2 linked regions of the Cricetulus griseus genome follow. The protein of the gene in region 2 interacts with the protein of the main gene of each other region in a biochemical or structural test. Links are inferred from orthologs where the notes say so. Each region holds a gene or a part of one and is shown on either strand. Other genes may lie near its edges.

Evidence for each region.
Region 1: the proteins of Sptbn2 (region 2) and Actr1a form a complex in vitro, tested with the Homo sapiens proteins (2 studies listed by BioGRID). The link is inferred for Cricetulus griseus from reciprocal best matches to the Homo sapiens genes SPTBN2 and ACTR1A.

What each region holds. Positions count from the first base shown.
Region 1 is NC_048596.1:15,200,807-15,208,324, forward strand, and holds the start of Actr1a (alpha-centractin), read left to right. Parts: upstream 1-2,559; 5' UTR 2,560-2,666; coding exon 2,667-2,714; intron 2,715-7,518. Other genes in the region: Sufu (suppressor of fused homolog), read right to left, coding at 872-1,053. UniProt on the Homo sapiens protein: Part of the ACTR1A/ACTB filament around which the dynactin complex is built. The dynactin multiprotein complex activates the molecular motor dynein for ultra-processive transport along microtubules.
Region 2 is NC_048596.1:54,561,953-54,568,678, forward strand, and holds part of Sptbn2 (spectrin beta chain, non-erythrocytic 2), read right to left. Parts: intron 2,923-6,726; coding exon 2,771-2,922; intron 2,363-2,770; coding exon 2,189-2,362; intron 1,201-2,188; coding exon 1,109-1,200; intron 971-1,108; coding exon 890-970; intron 512-889; coding exon 396-511; intron 1-395. UniProt on the Homo sapiens protein: Probably plays an important role in neuronal membrane skeleton.

The sequences.
Region 1 (7,518 bases), about 39 Mb from region 2:
TAATCCTTTACTGAGCAACTTTAAACTTATCCTGGGCTTCCCAGGAGAAACTTCGGCTGAAATCCTGAAGACATGACAGGAGGCGCGTCTTCAGGCTGCCCCTGACCACGACTAAGGTCTCCTCCATGCAGTTCCCATGCAGTATCCCCTTCAATCCCGAGCCAAAGCACGGCTCACTGAGCCTGTTCTTCACTAAAGTCCTAAAGCAAAAGCAGCTGCAACGCCAGAAGCAAGCTCTGCAGAGAGAGAACTGTGCAGAGTAAGCAAAAAGTTTATCTGGAAGAGTGGCTCTGTCAAACTTCAAGAGCAACAGCTTCGTACTGAATGACAGAAGCTCCAGCGCTCGGGAAGGTCCCGAAAGAAGGTCTCCTCCTCAACTCTTCACTCATCAAAGGCACAATGCCCTCATCTTCCTCCCTCCTAGCCCACAGGGGCTTCCTGGTCCCCAGACCGCCCTGGACTACGCGGTCTCGCGCCCTCCAAAGCACTCTCAAATGCTCTCCAGGCCCCGCCTCACCTCCCCCATCCCACTCCAGCCGCCCCCTGGCTTCCCCAAGCCCACCAATGACCCACCCCAGGCGCCCCTCCTTTCTCCACGTTTACAGTTCGCTCTCACACGTCCCCCCTCCGCCCCTGCTCACACCCCCGGCTCCCAGTCCCCCCAGTCCCGGTTAACCCCTCACTACTCAGAGGGTCCGTTAACCCTTTGTCCCCACTCCCAACTTCTGTCTTAACTCCGTCCCCAGCATCAGGAAGCTCCCGGCTCCCAAGTCCTTTAACCGTTTTCTTCCTCCCGCTGCTGCAAACTACTTCGTGCCCGGCGCTCGAAGCCGTCCCGGCGGCCCCGGTCCCCCCGAGGCCCAGGGCATACCAGTACTTGACGATAGCGGTGACCTGGAGCGGGTTCGGCTGGTCGGGGTAAAGGCGGCGGCACTCTCCGTAGATGGCGTGCAGTCCCGGGGGAAAGAGTGAGGCGAAGGCCGGAGAGGCACTAGGGCCAGGGGCCGGGGGCGCGGCGGGGCCGGGGGCGACGCTAGGCCGCAGCTCCGCCATCGGGGCGCGTAGGGCGCGCGGGGAACCCGGGAGGGTAGAAGAGGGGAGGCGCCCCGATGGGCCAGCGGACCCACAGTGGACGAGACTCCCCGAGGCGATGGGGGCTACGGCGAGGTCTAACTCCGCGCCTGCGCACGGTGCTCCGTCCGCCCAAGCCCTAGCCTTCGCAGAGTCGGCCAGAGGGTGCTGCGGGACCGCGGGGAGCTCCAGGGGGCGGGGCGTCGGTGTGCCCTTGGCTGCCGCCCATTGGTTAGTGCCGTTGCCAGTCACAAATGGAGAGGCGTGACTTGACAATAGGCCCCGCCTCCCTGCCTCTGTGTTGGGAGCGTCCCAAGGATCTCGGCCTCCCCCTAGTGTTAGGAGGAACCCAGTTTGAAACAGACGCGGAACCTGGAGGTGCCAGGAGTGGTGAAAGCGCTAAGAAGCTCCTAGCTAGTACTGTTTTCCTGATACGCGATTTTAAGATAAGCCTGACAACTGACCAACTCATTCGTTTGTGTGTCTTTATTAATATGTTACAACTCTTTAATATATCTCGGTGCCGATGACTCAAAGAAACTTGAAGAGGCAGGGAAATAAATACTCCAGGGGAAAGCATTTACGCATACTTTCTCTTTGCCTGAATATTCTCACCTATCAAGTTGTTTTTGTTTGTTGTTGTTTTTTTTTTTTTTTTGGTTTTTCGAGACAGGGTTTTTCTGTGGCTTTGGAGGCTGTCCTGGAACTAGCTCTTGTAGACCAGGCTGGTCTCGAACTCACAGAGATCCGCCTGCCTCTGCCCCCCCCCCCCAGGGCTGGGGTTAAAGGCATGTGCCACCAATGTCCGGCTCCATCAAGGTTTTAAGCTCAAGAAAAGATACTAAAGCAGTCTCTAAACCTGTAGATAATATTTTAGACCAGTATTCTATTGCATCCAACTACAGGTATTTTTTTGATAACCTTTGTTTTGCTTCATGGGTTTTTTGTTTTGTTTTTTCGAGACAAGGTTTTTCTGTGTAGTCCCGGTTGTCCTGGAAACTCTGCAGACCAAACTGGCCTCGAACTCAGAGATCCGCCTGCCTCTGCCTCCAGGGTGCGCCACTAGCTACGGGCACTGCTGCGCTTCTTATACGTGCTGGGAAAGCATTCTGCCCTTGAGCGACATTTCAGTGCCAGAAATGTTTATTAATGGTTTACATTGCCCAAGTGCAGGAATGGCTGAGTGGTGAGATGAATAGGTAAAACTCAACAGCCCCTGAACTACTGTCAAACCTAACCTCAACTAAGTACAAGTACTCCAGACTCTGGAATTTAAAGGAAAAGCTTCGAAGGGACTACAAATCCAGGCATGCACCATAATGAACACCTGTGGCGCTTGACTCTACCGAGACTACAAACCCCATCGCACCCTTCATCGGAAACACAATCCAGTTTTCTAAACCCGGCGGGACTCGGGCTCTGCCTGGAGCGCCAGCCCTGGGGCAAAGGATGCTGGGGATTGTAGTTCTTCGGAGACGAGGTCGGGCCGCTCCCTGGACGGCCAGTACCGGCGACTAGACTGCGCATGCGCGTCAGTGGCGTTTGCAGCGGACCGGGCTGGCAGTTCCTTCCTCGGAAGGAAAGATTCCTCTGCCATGGAGTCCTACGATGTGATCGCCAACCAGCCTGTCGTGATCGACAACGTGAGTAGCGCCTTTCCTATCTCTAGAGAGACTGCGCTGCCCTCCAGAAAGGGTCGCTTCCGAGGTTTCAGCCTAGGCCGCCTGCTCTTTGTCACTGGCCCGGCCTGTCAGGCGGGTCCAGCCGCCGCCGCCCCCGTCCTCCCCACAGCCACAGTTTGCAGGCAGGGCGGCCAGCAGCACTCGTGTGATGGAGAGCTTGGGCGTAAACAAAGGGAAGAGCTGTAGCCCGAGAAGGGTCCTTGGACCCTCGGCTCAAGGGGCCTTAACCGTTCTGAGACCCTAGCACCCGCCTTCTCCCTGGCTTCTCGTCACCCAATTGGCTGCTCTCGCTGTCTATCTCAGCCTGTTGGTCCCGCCTTTGGGCCTGGCCGGATTAGACCAGCAGTGTGCGGTAATTGGCTGGCGAGCCTGTCGCTTCCTTTCTGGGAGGGGTGGGGCGGTGCGCTGGGGCGGCGGGGATTGGCTTGGCGCACTCCGGGAGCGGAAGGCGACGGCTGGTCCAGCGGTGAAGGTGGGGTGTGAGCCGGCTGGGCCGCATAGGAAACTGAATCAGGGTGGGGCCGCATAATGCGGTGCCAGAAATGCCTATGGGATTCCAGTTATTTTTGTGATTAGGAATTCTCGTTAGCAGCGGTAAACAAAGAAGGAGAGTGACAAAGCAGGCCAGGTGCCCTCCTCTCGGCCGTGCCCGGCTGAGAGGCCGGGAGGTGACCAGACGCGTGAGCGTCTGTCAGGTACGCTAGCGTTTCCAGGGCGCTCTCGCCAGCCTGTCAGTTGAAGCCAACCTCACAGAAAGTGAACGGTTAAGAAGGAAGTTTGCGTCTCCTTTCACAGAACGAACACCGAAGATGGAAGTGACCAAGGTCATATTCCGCAGCGGTGCCCTGTATAAGTTCATCGCCTTATCTAAATGTCATCCCTTTGCTAACCACCCCTCCACGAACGCATCGATAATGATGAATAGAAAGAGCCTAAGGATTGCCTTTATGAGGCGGGGCAGTATGTCTAAGGTTTCTATGCTTCACCCAAAGTTTTGGTCCTGTGCTCTTTCAGCATCCCTCCTTTGAGAAACCGCTGTGGAGTAACCCCTCTGTCCTAGGCCGACCTTATCGGAGTAACTGTGATGTTCAGCCCTTCTCACCTGGGCGTGCCGCTAGGTTCTTTTATTTGCATAGTAGGTAGATGGAGATTGCTTTCCCAGTTTATGCAGGAACGTGAGACTCGGGAAGGTTTTTCAGACGGCCCCGTTAGGAGTTGAAGATCCAAGACTAACAATGAAATCATCTAGTTCCAAGTTCTTCAATCTTTCAAGGAAGGCTGTCTTATTTGTTGTAAACTGCCTTTTTAAAAGGTGAGGCTGAGCCTGGCAGTGGTGGCGCACACCTTTGATCCCCCAGCACTCTGGAGGCAGAGGCAGGTGGAACTGTTTTAGTTCAAGGTCAGCTTGGTCTACAGAGCTAGTTCCAGGACAGCCAGGACTGTTATATAGAGAAACCTTGTTTTGTTTTGGAAAACAAAAAACAAAGTGAAGCTGAGACTCGGCGGGGAGGGGGGGGGTATGTCACCCGGCTGGTAGCATTGTCTGACATTTGTGAAATCCTGGGCTCCATCCCCAGACAGCATAGACCTGGTATAGAAGTCAGATGTGGGGCTGGAGAGATGGCTCAGAGGTTAAGAGTACTCGCTGCTCTTACAGAGGTCAATTCCAGCAACCACATGGTGGCTCACAGCCTTCTGTAATGCAACCTGGTACCCTCTTCTGGCCTGGGCAGAACATTATACATAATAAATATAAATAAATAAATATTTAAAAAAAGAAGTCAGATGTGGTCCATGCCTGTAATCCCAGCACTTGGAGACAGGAAAATCAGAAATTCAAGGTCATTGTTTGAAGCCAGCCTCTAAGACCCTGTTTGTTTGTTTGGGATAGTAGGTTAAGCAAAGTTAAATGAGACACCTTGTTTTGAAGTATTAGTTTTTGTCTTCACTTAGACTAGACAGACTTTTTAAATCATGTGGGGAGAGTGAGATCCTTCATTTTTCATCCCACAATGTCTCTCTCCCCTCCCCTCCCTCCATCTCTATCTTGTGTGTGTGGTGTGTGGTGTGTGTGTGTGTCTGTCTGTGTGTGTCCAGATGTGTCTCTTGTGCATGACCACACACGTGCATGTGAGAGAGCTGGTGCCTTTGGAGGCCAGAAGAGGGCTTAAATTTTGTAGAACTAGCGGCCGCAGGCAGTTATGAACTATCCAACATGAATGGGGTGCAGGGAAGGATGCAAACTCTGGATCTATCCCAGTGTGGCAGCTGGTGCTCTTTAACTACTGGGCCATCTCTCCAGCTCACCACTACTCCTCTTCCACCCGACTCTACAAGGCATTGAGAGCCCGGTACCACTATGCACACAATAAAGCCTTTTCATTGGCTAGGTGAGTGGATAGGTGAATAACTAATGATCTCTATCATGGTAACAGAAAATGGCCAGGGGGAAGGGAGACCCAATCAAGGTGAGGGGTTTCAGATATGTTTGTAATTCTGCAAATGATAGAGTGATACTTCTTTCTTTAGTTTGTTTGAGACGGGGTCTCAAGACACTTCTTGTTCTCAGTGTTGATATCCAGAGAGCATGACTACTTATGTCTTTAGCTACCTGTGTTTTGGAGCTACCTCTTTCTTAGTCATTAAAAAATGCAGAGAAGTGCCAAGTCTCAGACTGGAGAAATGACTCAGCAGTTACGAGCACTTGGTCCTCTTGTAGAGGGCCAGAGCTCCGTTCCTAGTACCCATGTAGGCAGCTGACAACCTGAAACTAGAACGCCAGAGGGTCAGATGCTCTCTTTGGTCTGAGGGTACTTGCACTTCACCTGCACAGACACACATACAAGACATGTGCATATACACATAATTATTTTTTAAAAGAATTGTCAGCTTTTGTTTTGGCATTAGCAGTGCAAGAAGCATCGGTTCACCCCACCATCCCCTTTTCCTTGGATCCCTCAGGGGAGTTGAAGTTACAGGTGGTTGCGAATCACTCAGTATGGATTCTGGGAACCAGACTCCAGTCCTTTGGGAGAACATCGATTGCTCTTAACTGATGAGCTATCTCTTTGGCCCCCTTACTTCTTTTTTGTTTTTTGAGATCTAAATGAGTCTGAAAGTTTGTGTGCTACCTGCATGCAGTGCCCTTGGAAGCCAGAAGAGGGCATCTGATGACTGGAACTGGAATTCCAGACAGTTGTAAGCTGCCTAGTTGGTGCTTGGGAGTCAAACCTGTGTCCTGTGGAAGAGCAGCAAGTGCTCTTAGCTGATGAGCCATCCCTCGGCCTTTGTTCCTTTTCTTACAAAGATCCTCACTCTGTAGCTCTGGCTACCCAGGGGATTCATTATATAGACAAAGCCAGCTTCAAACTTAGGGGCCTCCTGTCTACCTGCCTCCAGAGAGCTGAGATTACAGGTGTGTACCAGCTGGTTTTTGGATTTTCCTGGAAAATCAGAAGGATAATTTCACGTGCAGTCTTTAATTTGTAACCATTGCCAGTAAATCTAACAGTATGCTGTGGTTTATAAAAACAGGTAGGTTGGTAGCTACAAGTGCTGGAAGAATGGGTACATATAATGCAGAATGACTGTTACTGGGCACAGGGCCTCTTTTGAGAGTGATAAAAAATTCTTCAGTTAGTTACAAATTTATGGCTAGCCTTGGCTATATGGTTAAACCCTGGTTATATACAATTCTGACCATACTAAAATACATAGAATTGTACTATACCTTAAATTAGTAAATTGTGTATGTGAAATGTAAATTTTATCTCAGTAAGTTTTTTGTCTTTCTTTAAATCTTCAAAGTGCTTTCTGAACCAAATGAAAGTCTTGGGATCAAAATGAACCAATTAACAACCCCTGTCCTAGAACCAGTGCTCTCAGCACCCAGCTCTCACTTGTGAGATGGGGACCATTGTCCTCTTTCCCTGCTCTCAGCACCCTGCTCTCACTTGTGAGGTGAGGACCATGATCCTCTTGCCCAGCACATCAAGCCACCTGAAGTACTTAAGAAAATCTGCTCAAACCGAAAGCCTGCAGCCTGCTGGTGGTGGGAGAGCCTGCACCTGGAGGATGGTCGTTGGTGGCTAGGAGCTGACTTTAGTTCTCATAAATCAAGCATTTCCTGAGACTGCATTTTCAAGAAGCCGGCCTCTACAGGGTGTTTGTTCATTTCCTTTGTTGACATGAGTAGCAAGGTGGCAGCTGGTTGCCAGGCACACAGCTCCTATGTAAATTCTGCTAGAGGTAGATGTGACCCTTTTGTTTGCTCTGAGGTACAGTTTATAGAATAGAGCACCTCATCTCACCCCCTGCCCTCTGCTTGTTGGTCCAGGCCTTGTCCTGGCAGGCCTGCTGGGGCCATAGGGACAAGCTGGGTCTGGTTCTTCCCCATGCGTCACTCCTGATACTGCTTTTGCCTTCCCTACGCCACCTCTGCCTGGGGCTGCTTGCTGGCATTCTAGATGCTTGTTCAGGGTCTTAATTTAGGGTTCACCTATCAATTCTTTCAATTCTTTTTTTTAATTTTTAAATTTTTCTTTGGTTTTGTTTGTTTGTTTGTTTTTGAGACAGGGTCTCACTCTGTAGACCAGACTGGCCTCAAATTCACAGAGATCTGCCTGCCTCTGACTCCTGAGTGCTGGGATTAAAGGCGTGCATTGCATCACTACTATGCCTGGCATCTATCTGCCAATCTGATTTTTAACTTTCATCAGCTGGTCTCTTTCCCCGAGTGTCTACCAAATGACTGCTATGTGACTTC
Region 2 (6,726 bases):
AGCCCAGAGCTCTCTCTGAGGCAGGGCTCCCTTTATTCTTACAAACTGTTTTGAGGCAGAGTCTCATGTAGCCCAGGCTGTCCTCAAACCTGCTATATAGGAAAGCTGGCCTTAAATTCCTAACCCTTCTTTCTACCCTTGCCTGCTGAGTATTGGGATTGCAGGTGTAAGCCAACATGCAGGTACCTTTTTTCTTTTCTTTGAGATGCAACTTTAAAAGTTATCCTTTTAAAGGATTCAGTTCAGCAGCTTGGAGTGTATTCATATGGTTGTGGAAATCATGGCTACCACCTGATTCCAGAATATTTGCATTCCTCCACTGCTGCTGGTCTTCCCCTGACAACCCCAATTTGCCTCTGTCTTCCCTACACCTGTTTTGCAGAGCTCTGACCCACCTTCAGGATCCAGGAGCTTGGTCAGGCCAAGTTCCTTTTCAGCCAGATTGAAAGCATTCTGCAGATTGTAGTGTGCATTGCACTTCTTCAGGGACTCAAAATCCAGCAGGTCTGGCCTAGGGGTGAGAGTGGGGGGTGACACAGAACACATCCAAAGCATGTCAGAGCCCAAAGAAAACAATGTAAATTCATTCCTGGCTTGAAGTGCCCCAAGCCCCCTGGAAGTATACCATCCTACTTGCCGGCTCCTCTCGCACATTCTTTTCCCTGTTCTTTTTGAGACAGGGTCTCTTCTTATGCAGCCTTGACTGGCCTGGAATTCACTTTGAGACCAGACTGGCCTTGAATTTGCTGCCCCCTTAAAGACTGAGATTTCCCTTCATTTTTTCCTCTATAACTATGCTGTAATTCAGTCACTCTCCTGGCCTCTGCTGTGTTCTCCTGGGCCATTAATCCATGTATTCACCAAACCCGTGAATTCACCAAACACTTACCGGTGTTTGTGCACGATGGCATTAAAGGCCAGCCCATCTCTCCAACTGGTGGTAAAGTTGTGCACATTGACATTGGGATACCTATAAAGAAAGACCAGGAAAAAATAGCGAGTGCTTCAGAGCCCTGGTCTGTGATAAAAGAACATCAGGCAGGTTGTGAACCGGAGAGTCCATCTCAGTGTGGCCAACCCCTATAGCCATGCTCCTGGATCTCCTCACCCTGCGGTCTTCATCTGGCACCACAGCAGCAGGGCATCCTTGGCTGATTTCTTCTCCTTGTTGTCTTCTGTCTCCACACTGATGTCTTGGATCTGAGAAAGTAGCAAATAGGACCTTCACTCCCCATTGGGTGTCTTGGTGATACCAGAGACACTCAGAAAAATCACAGAAAACTGATCTTTAGGAGTGTTGTATAATGGGCCCCTTATTTCCTGGGCTAGTGACACTTATTATCAGGCCCAGAGGATCTGAAGTAGGGTGTCGGTGGAGCGGAAGTACCTATGAGTAAGGGAGCTGGTTCTTCCAGGTGGAGAATGTGAGCAGGGGAATGAATGTTTTCTGAGAGCTGGCTTTCAAAGATAGAGCTGAAAGAGCTCTGTTTTGAGTGAAAGAGGGAGAGGGCCACTGGGGAAGGACAGGTACAATTAGAGCAGTTGAGGTGACACTGAGACGGAGTATCATGGAAAGTAAATGGATATGCTTCAAGGGCAGCTGCTCTAGGAAGCTCCCTATGCTCAATTTTTTTTAGAACACTTTTTTAAAAAAAAAAGATTTTATTTATTTATTACGTATACAACATTCTGCTTCCATGTATATCTGCACACCAGAAGAGGGCACCAGATCTCATAAGGGATGGTTGGGAGCCACCATATGGTTGCTGGGAATTGAACTCAGGACCTCTGGAAGAGCAGTCAGTGCTCTTAACCTCTGAGCCATCTCTCCAGCCCTCTATGCTCAATTTTTAAATTTATTTATTATTTTATTTTTATGTGTATGGGTATTTTGCCTGTATGTTTATCTGTGCGCCATGTGTGTGCCTGGTGTTCTCAGAGGCCAGAAGAAGGTATTAGATCCCATAGAACTAGAGTTATAAGTGGTTGTGAGCTGCCAAATGGGTACTGGGAATTAAACCCAGTTCCTCTGGAAGAACAGCCATTATAGTGTTTTTAACTCTTAGGCCATCTCTCCAGCCCCTCAATTTTTGTTTCTATCTTGTCATGGACCATAATAAGTTAACAGTGTGGGGGCATAAAACTGATTGGTGCACAGCTCACACCTTAGATAACACTTGGAGGATACCTGGAATCGAAGGATGATGGTCCACACCAGCCCGAGGGTCAGACGGTGGTTTCCGTCCACGATGTCATGGGAGCCCATGTTTTCCAAGTGTACTTTCTGCTCCTTCAGGAACTGTAGTGCTTTATCCACATTCTCCAGGCAGTGAATCCGCATTCGGCCCTTTGTGGGCTTTGGCTGTGGGTGGATGGAAGGCACAGTGGCATGGGACCACGGCTCTCTTTCTTCTTAGTTTTCTCAGCAACCTGCCCCATACCTCCCATGACTTCCTTTGGGAACACAGTGACAGCCCTAGGGTCAAGCCAGAGGTCATGGAGCCCAAGCAAGGTTACAGATGAGGCTTGGGCAGATTAAGATTCCCAAGGGAATTAATTGCACCCAGAGTGGGTGGGAGAAGAAATGTTTTCAATGGGGCCACTGTTCCTGTCTCTGCAAAGCATGGCTCCCATGTAATCAGGTAGCAAAGCCTCTTGGAATGAGAGCATCCTCTAGTCAGAGGAGCCTTGGTATATTGCTCAGTGCTCTATGGCAGCCCCTGTGGTTTGTTCCCTGAAGCTCCCTCTTCTGTTCACTACCCCTGCTCACCAGGGTCTCTCCCGAGAGCACCTCCAGGAGCCTCAGGAGGTTGCGCCCGTCCCGCAGGTCGCTGTACAGGTCTCCCACCCGGCATGTCACCCGGGCCAGGTGGGAGTTCACCCACTTGGTGAAGGTTTTCTTCTGCACAGCTTCTCGTTCATCTGCAGCGACAACAAGGAGTCACTTCTGCCCTTCAAGGACAGTATGCTTGCTTCTAAACACCAACTGGCATGGTGTGGAATGTGGTGCCTGAGAGAGCAGAAGTGACAGCTGGGATCGGCAGGGTTAGCGATGACCAAGAGAAAAAAGCTAAGAAATGAAGAGGCCGGGATGAGCTCATGAGCAAAGGAAAGGATAAAAAGAGGAAGACAAAGTCTTCAATCCCAGGTGGAGACAGGTGGATCTCTGTGAGTTTGAGGCCAGCCTGGTCTACAGAGAGTGTTCCAGGACAGCCAAGGCTACATGGAGAAACCCTGTCTCTGAAAAAAAACAAAACAAAACAACAACAAAAAAAGAAAAACCAAGACAGATAAAAAAGGCCTCAAGAAGAAATGCCCAGGAAGGTGCTGGGGTTAGGCTTCATGCTGTAAAGAGATGAAATACTGACAACTTACTCAGTGCCTCAGTTTCTCTATTTGTAGGATGAGCATATTATTTCCTACTTTATTGGGTCACTGTAGCAATTAAATGAGATACTGGGTATGACACATTTAGTGGTTGCCCAGTGTGATGTGGCTCCCTGTTGGGGAGCTTTGATAAAGGCAGGGCCCTCCTTCTCCTTCAACTGTGGCAAGGGAGAAGATGTGGCCTGTAAATATGACAGATCTCGCAGATGGTCAGCAACTGGACTTGACCGTGGAGAGGTTGTGTGGGCCTTTAAGGCAGCTCCCTGTTCTGGGTCATGTACAGAAACGGTAGGCTACTCTACCCCAAGGCAGTGTTGCACAGTTGGCTATAGTGGATCCAGACCTAGAACACCAATACCCCAAGATTCAGAAAGACTTTATAAGAATTTAGGCCAGGCATGGTGCTGCATGTCTTTAATCTTGGAAGGCAGAAGCAGGCCTATCTCTGCGAATTCCAGACCAGCCATGGCAGATCTCACCAGACAGTGAGATCCTGTCTCAAACAAAAACAAATGGCGCACAGCTTTAGACCCAGCACTCGGGAGGCAGAGGCAGGCGGATCTCTGTCTACAGCCTTGTCTACAGAGAAAGTTCCAGGACAACCTCCAAAGCTACAGAGAAACCCTGTCTCAACCCCCCTCCGCCCAAAAAAAGAACTTTCAAGTTCAAGGGAGTAATGCAGGTGGAGTTGAGTGCCAACCTCCAGGAGAGGTAGGCAAGGCCAGGTAGCCTAGTCCCCAGGGGGAGCTCCTAACAAGGGATGCTGTCAGGTTGCACAGGAAGCTGATGATTAAAAATGTTATAAATGGAAAGGGACAGGTAAGCTCTGCACAGTAAGCTACTTTAGAGGTCAGAGAGACCCATGTGGGGACCCAGCCACAGGGGTATGTGTGTAGATTTACTTCCATCTCAGAACCAGTACCTCAGAAATCTAGACTCAACCCTTAATTTCATGTTCCTGTGCACCTCCCCCATAAAACAGCCACACACCCAAGTCTACTCCTGACTTCCTCACCTCCAATTCCTGTGCCTATGCCAAACCTGGGATCCTAACCACCGTGTGGGATAACCCCCCCCCACTCCAGCACTTGTGATGCCTATGGTGACTCTGGACCTCTTTTAGGGTCCTAGGCCCTATATGAGTTGAGGACAGATTAAGTCATCTGGCCATTACTGAATCCACGGAGACCTCTCTGATACCAGGCAGGCTGGTGTGAGGCCCATAGGTAGACTAAAGTGGAAGCAGTACCTAGAAAGACCTGGTAAAGCTAGACACCCAAGTGTAGCATTACAAGACATCCCTAAACACACACACCATGAAATAAACTATCATGTGCCAAGATGAACATTCCTGTTCAGACACCTATGGACCTGTGTGTACAAACCCTCCCCTTTGACACACGCTCTCTATTTTCTACACATCCTCCCTCCACAGTCATTCTGAAGCCCAGGAAAACACATAGAAGCTCAAGGTCCTAGGCCTCTAGCCCATTCCCCTTTTCTCCTTCCTTAACAAGGCCAACATGGCCAAACCATGAGGGTGAGCCACCAGGGAGACTGCGAGGGCCTCTCTAGCGGACGACATGAACCCACAAGCTACCTTCACCCTCATCACCTTTGCACCCAGCAGGGCACCCCCACCCCAGGTCTCATTCAGTAGAATTTCAGTTGTCCACATATCTGGATTCTCTGGCTACTTGCAATGATTCCCTGTAAGTTCCACCACGTTGAGTAACAGGGGTTCCAGGCATGCTAGCTCTTCCTATCCCAGGTCCCCTTTGGCACACAGGCTCCCTCTGCCCCGGGGAAACTCACCTTGAAGCTGTTTGAAGCGTCCTTCCAGCACACTGGCATACTGAGCAGGATTGATGAAGGCAGCTGGTGAGAGCAGGACGCCCCCAGGGTTCTGAGACCCTTCCACAGCCTCATAGTAAAACTCACCGGCCCCGTTCAGGCCATTTCCATGTATCCTGCCCACTCCGTTCGCACTCATGGTGCCTGCTACCTCCTACTCAGCCTGTGGCCCAGAGTCCATGCTCCCCTGCCAGGGCAGGGCCAAGAGTGTGTGTCCCCTAAGCCTGTGCTGGGGGTCCAAAAAAAGGCTTCCGTACCTGGTTGGGTGGAGTTGTTTCAAGGATGCTGGGAGTTTCAAGGAGTGGGGGGAAAGTTTTAGGATGCCTGAGCTTCTGAGACAGTGAGTAGGGCACACCTGGTTGTGGGGAGAGGAGACAGAGGCAGCTCCAGACAAACAGGTCGGACAGTGGCGGGGGAGGGGCACGCTGCTCAGGAGGCGGAGCCAGTTGGGGCTTGGCCAGGCCCTGCAGGGGCGGAGGAGGGTGTTGCCAGCACCCAGAGAGAGACCTGCTCGTCAGGCCACTAGTTGCCCAAGACTAGGGAAAACCTGCCAGAGGGGGCCCCAAAGCAAACTCCTGCTTTCAGAAGGTCTGCCGTGGGCAAGGCCTCTCTGGGCATCTATGGGTGGGCTTGTTTCAGGACACCTGAACTTTGATCTCGGCCCCTGAGAACAGAGAAACAGGAAGCAAGGAGATCCTGGAAGAGAAGCAGGTGTGCCCGTTTTGACTTCTATGGCCTCCTCTGGGGAGTAAGTATTGCAAATGTCCCCCAGCACCAGCCCTTTGCGCACCAGGCCCCTCAGTCAACATCTCAGCCCCCATACACCCTAGTAATGGGTACAACTATGAGGTGCCCTTCCTACCTCTTCCTGGGCTTCTGCTTTTGTCACTGGCACCTACACTTGTTCCTTCTCATCCTTAATCATTTAGGATTTATTTGGCACCTACTGAGTGAGTGGCACTGTGCACAGCAAAGCCCATTCAGAGATGGCTCTTCAGGGGAGCCTGCCTTGAGCGGGGGATAAACACTCCACAAGAGCACCGAGTGGTGTGTGCATATGGTGACTGTTCTGATCGGAGCAAGTCTTGTGTGCAGCTTGACAGGACTTATGTGTCAGATGCTCAGACATGATAGCAGTACTGAGTGGCACGTGGCATGCTCACAGACATGGTGAGAGCTGAGTAGCACCTGTCACATGAGCGAGACCTAGAAGATTTACGGGGTGGCATATAGCATGTACACGTAGATATAATGATCACATGGATTGGCATGTGACCTGTACAGGCACAGTGACACTTCTGGGAGGTATGTGTCATTGCAGATATCAGGAGAGTTTGGGGTAGCATGTGCACAATGACATCAATGATAGTACCAGAGGATACACGAATCTAAAAACAGGGAGCCAGGCACACTTCCCCAAAGACGTGACATTTTCCGTACCCCACATTTCCTGTCTTCCCTGAACTACTGAAGTACCGATAGAGT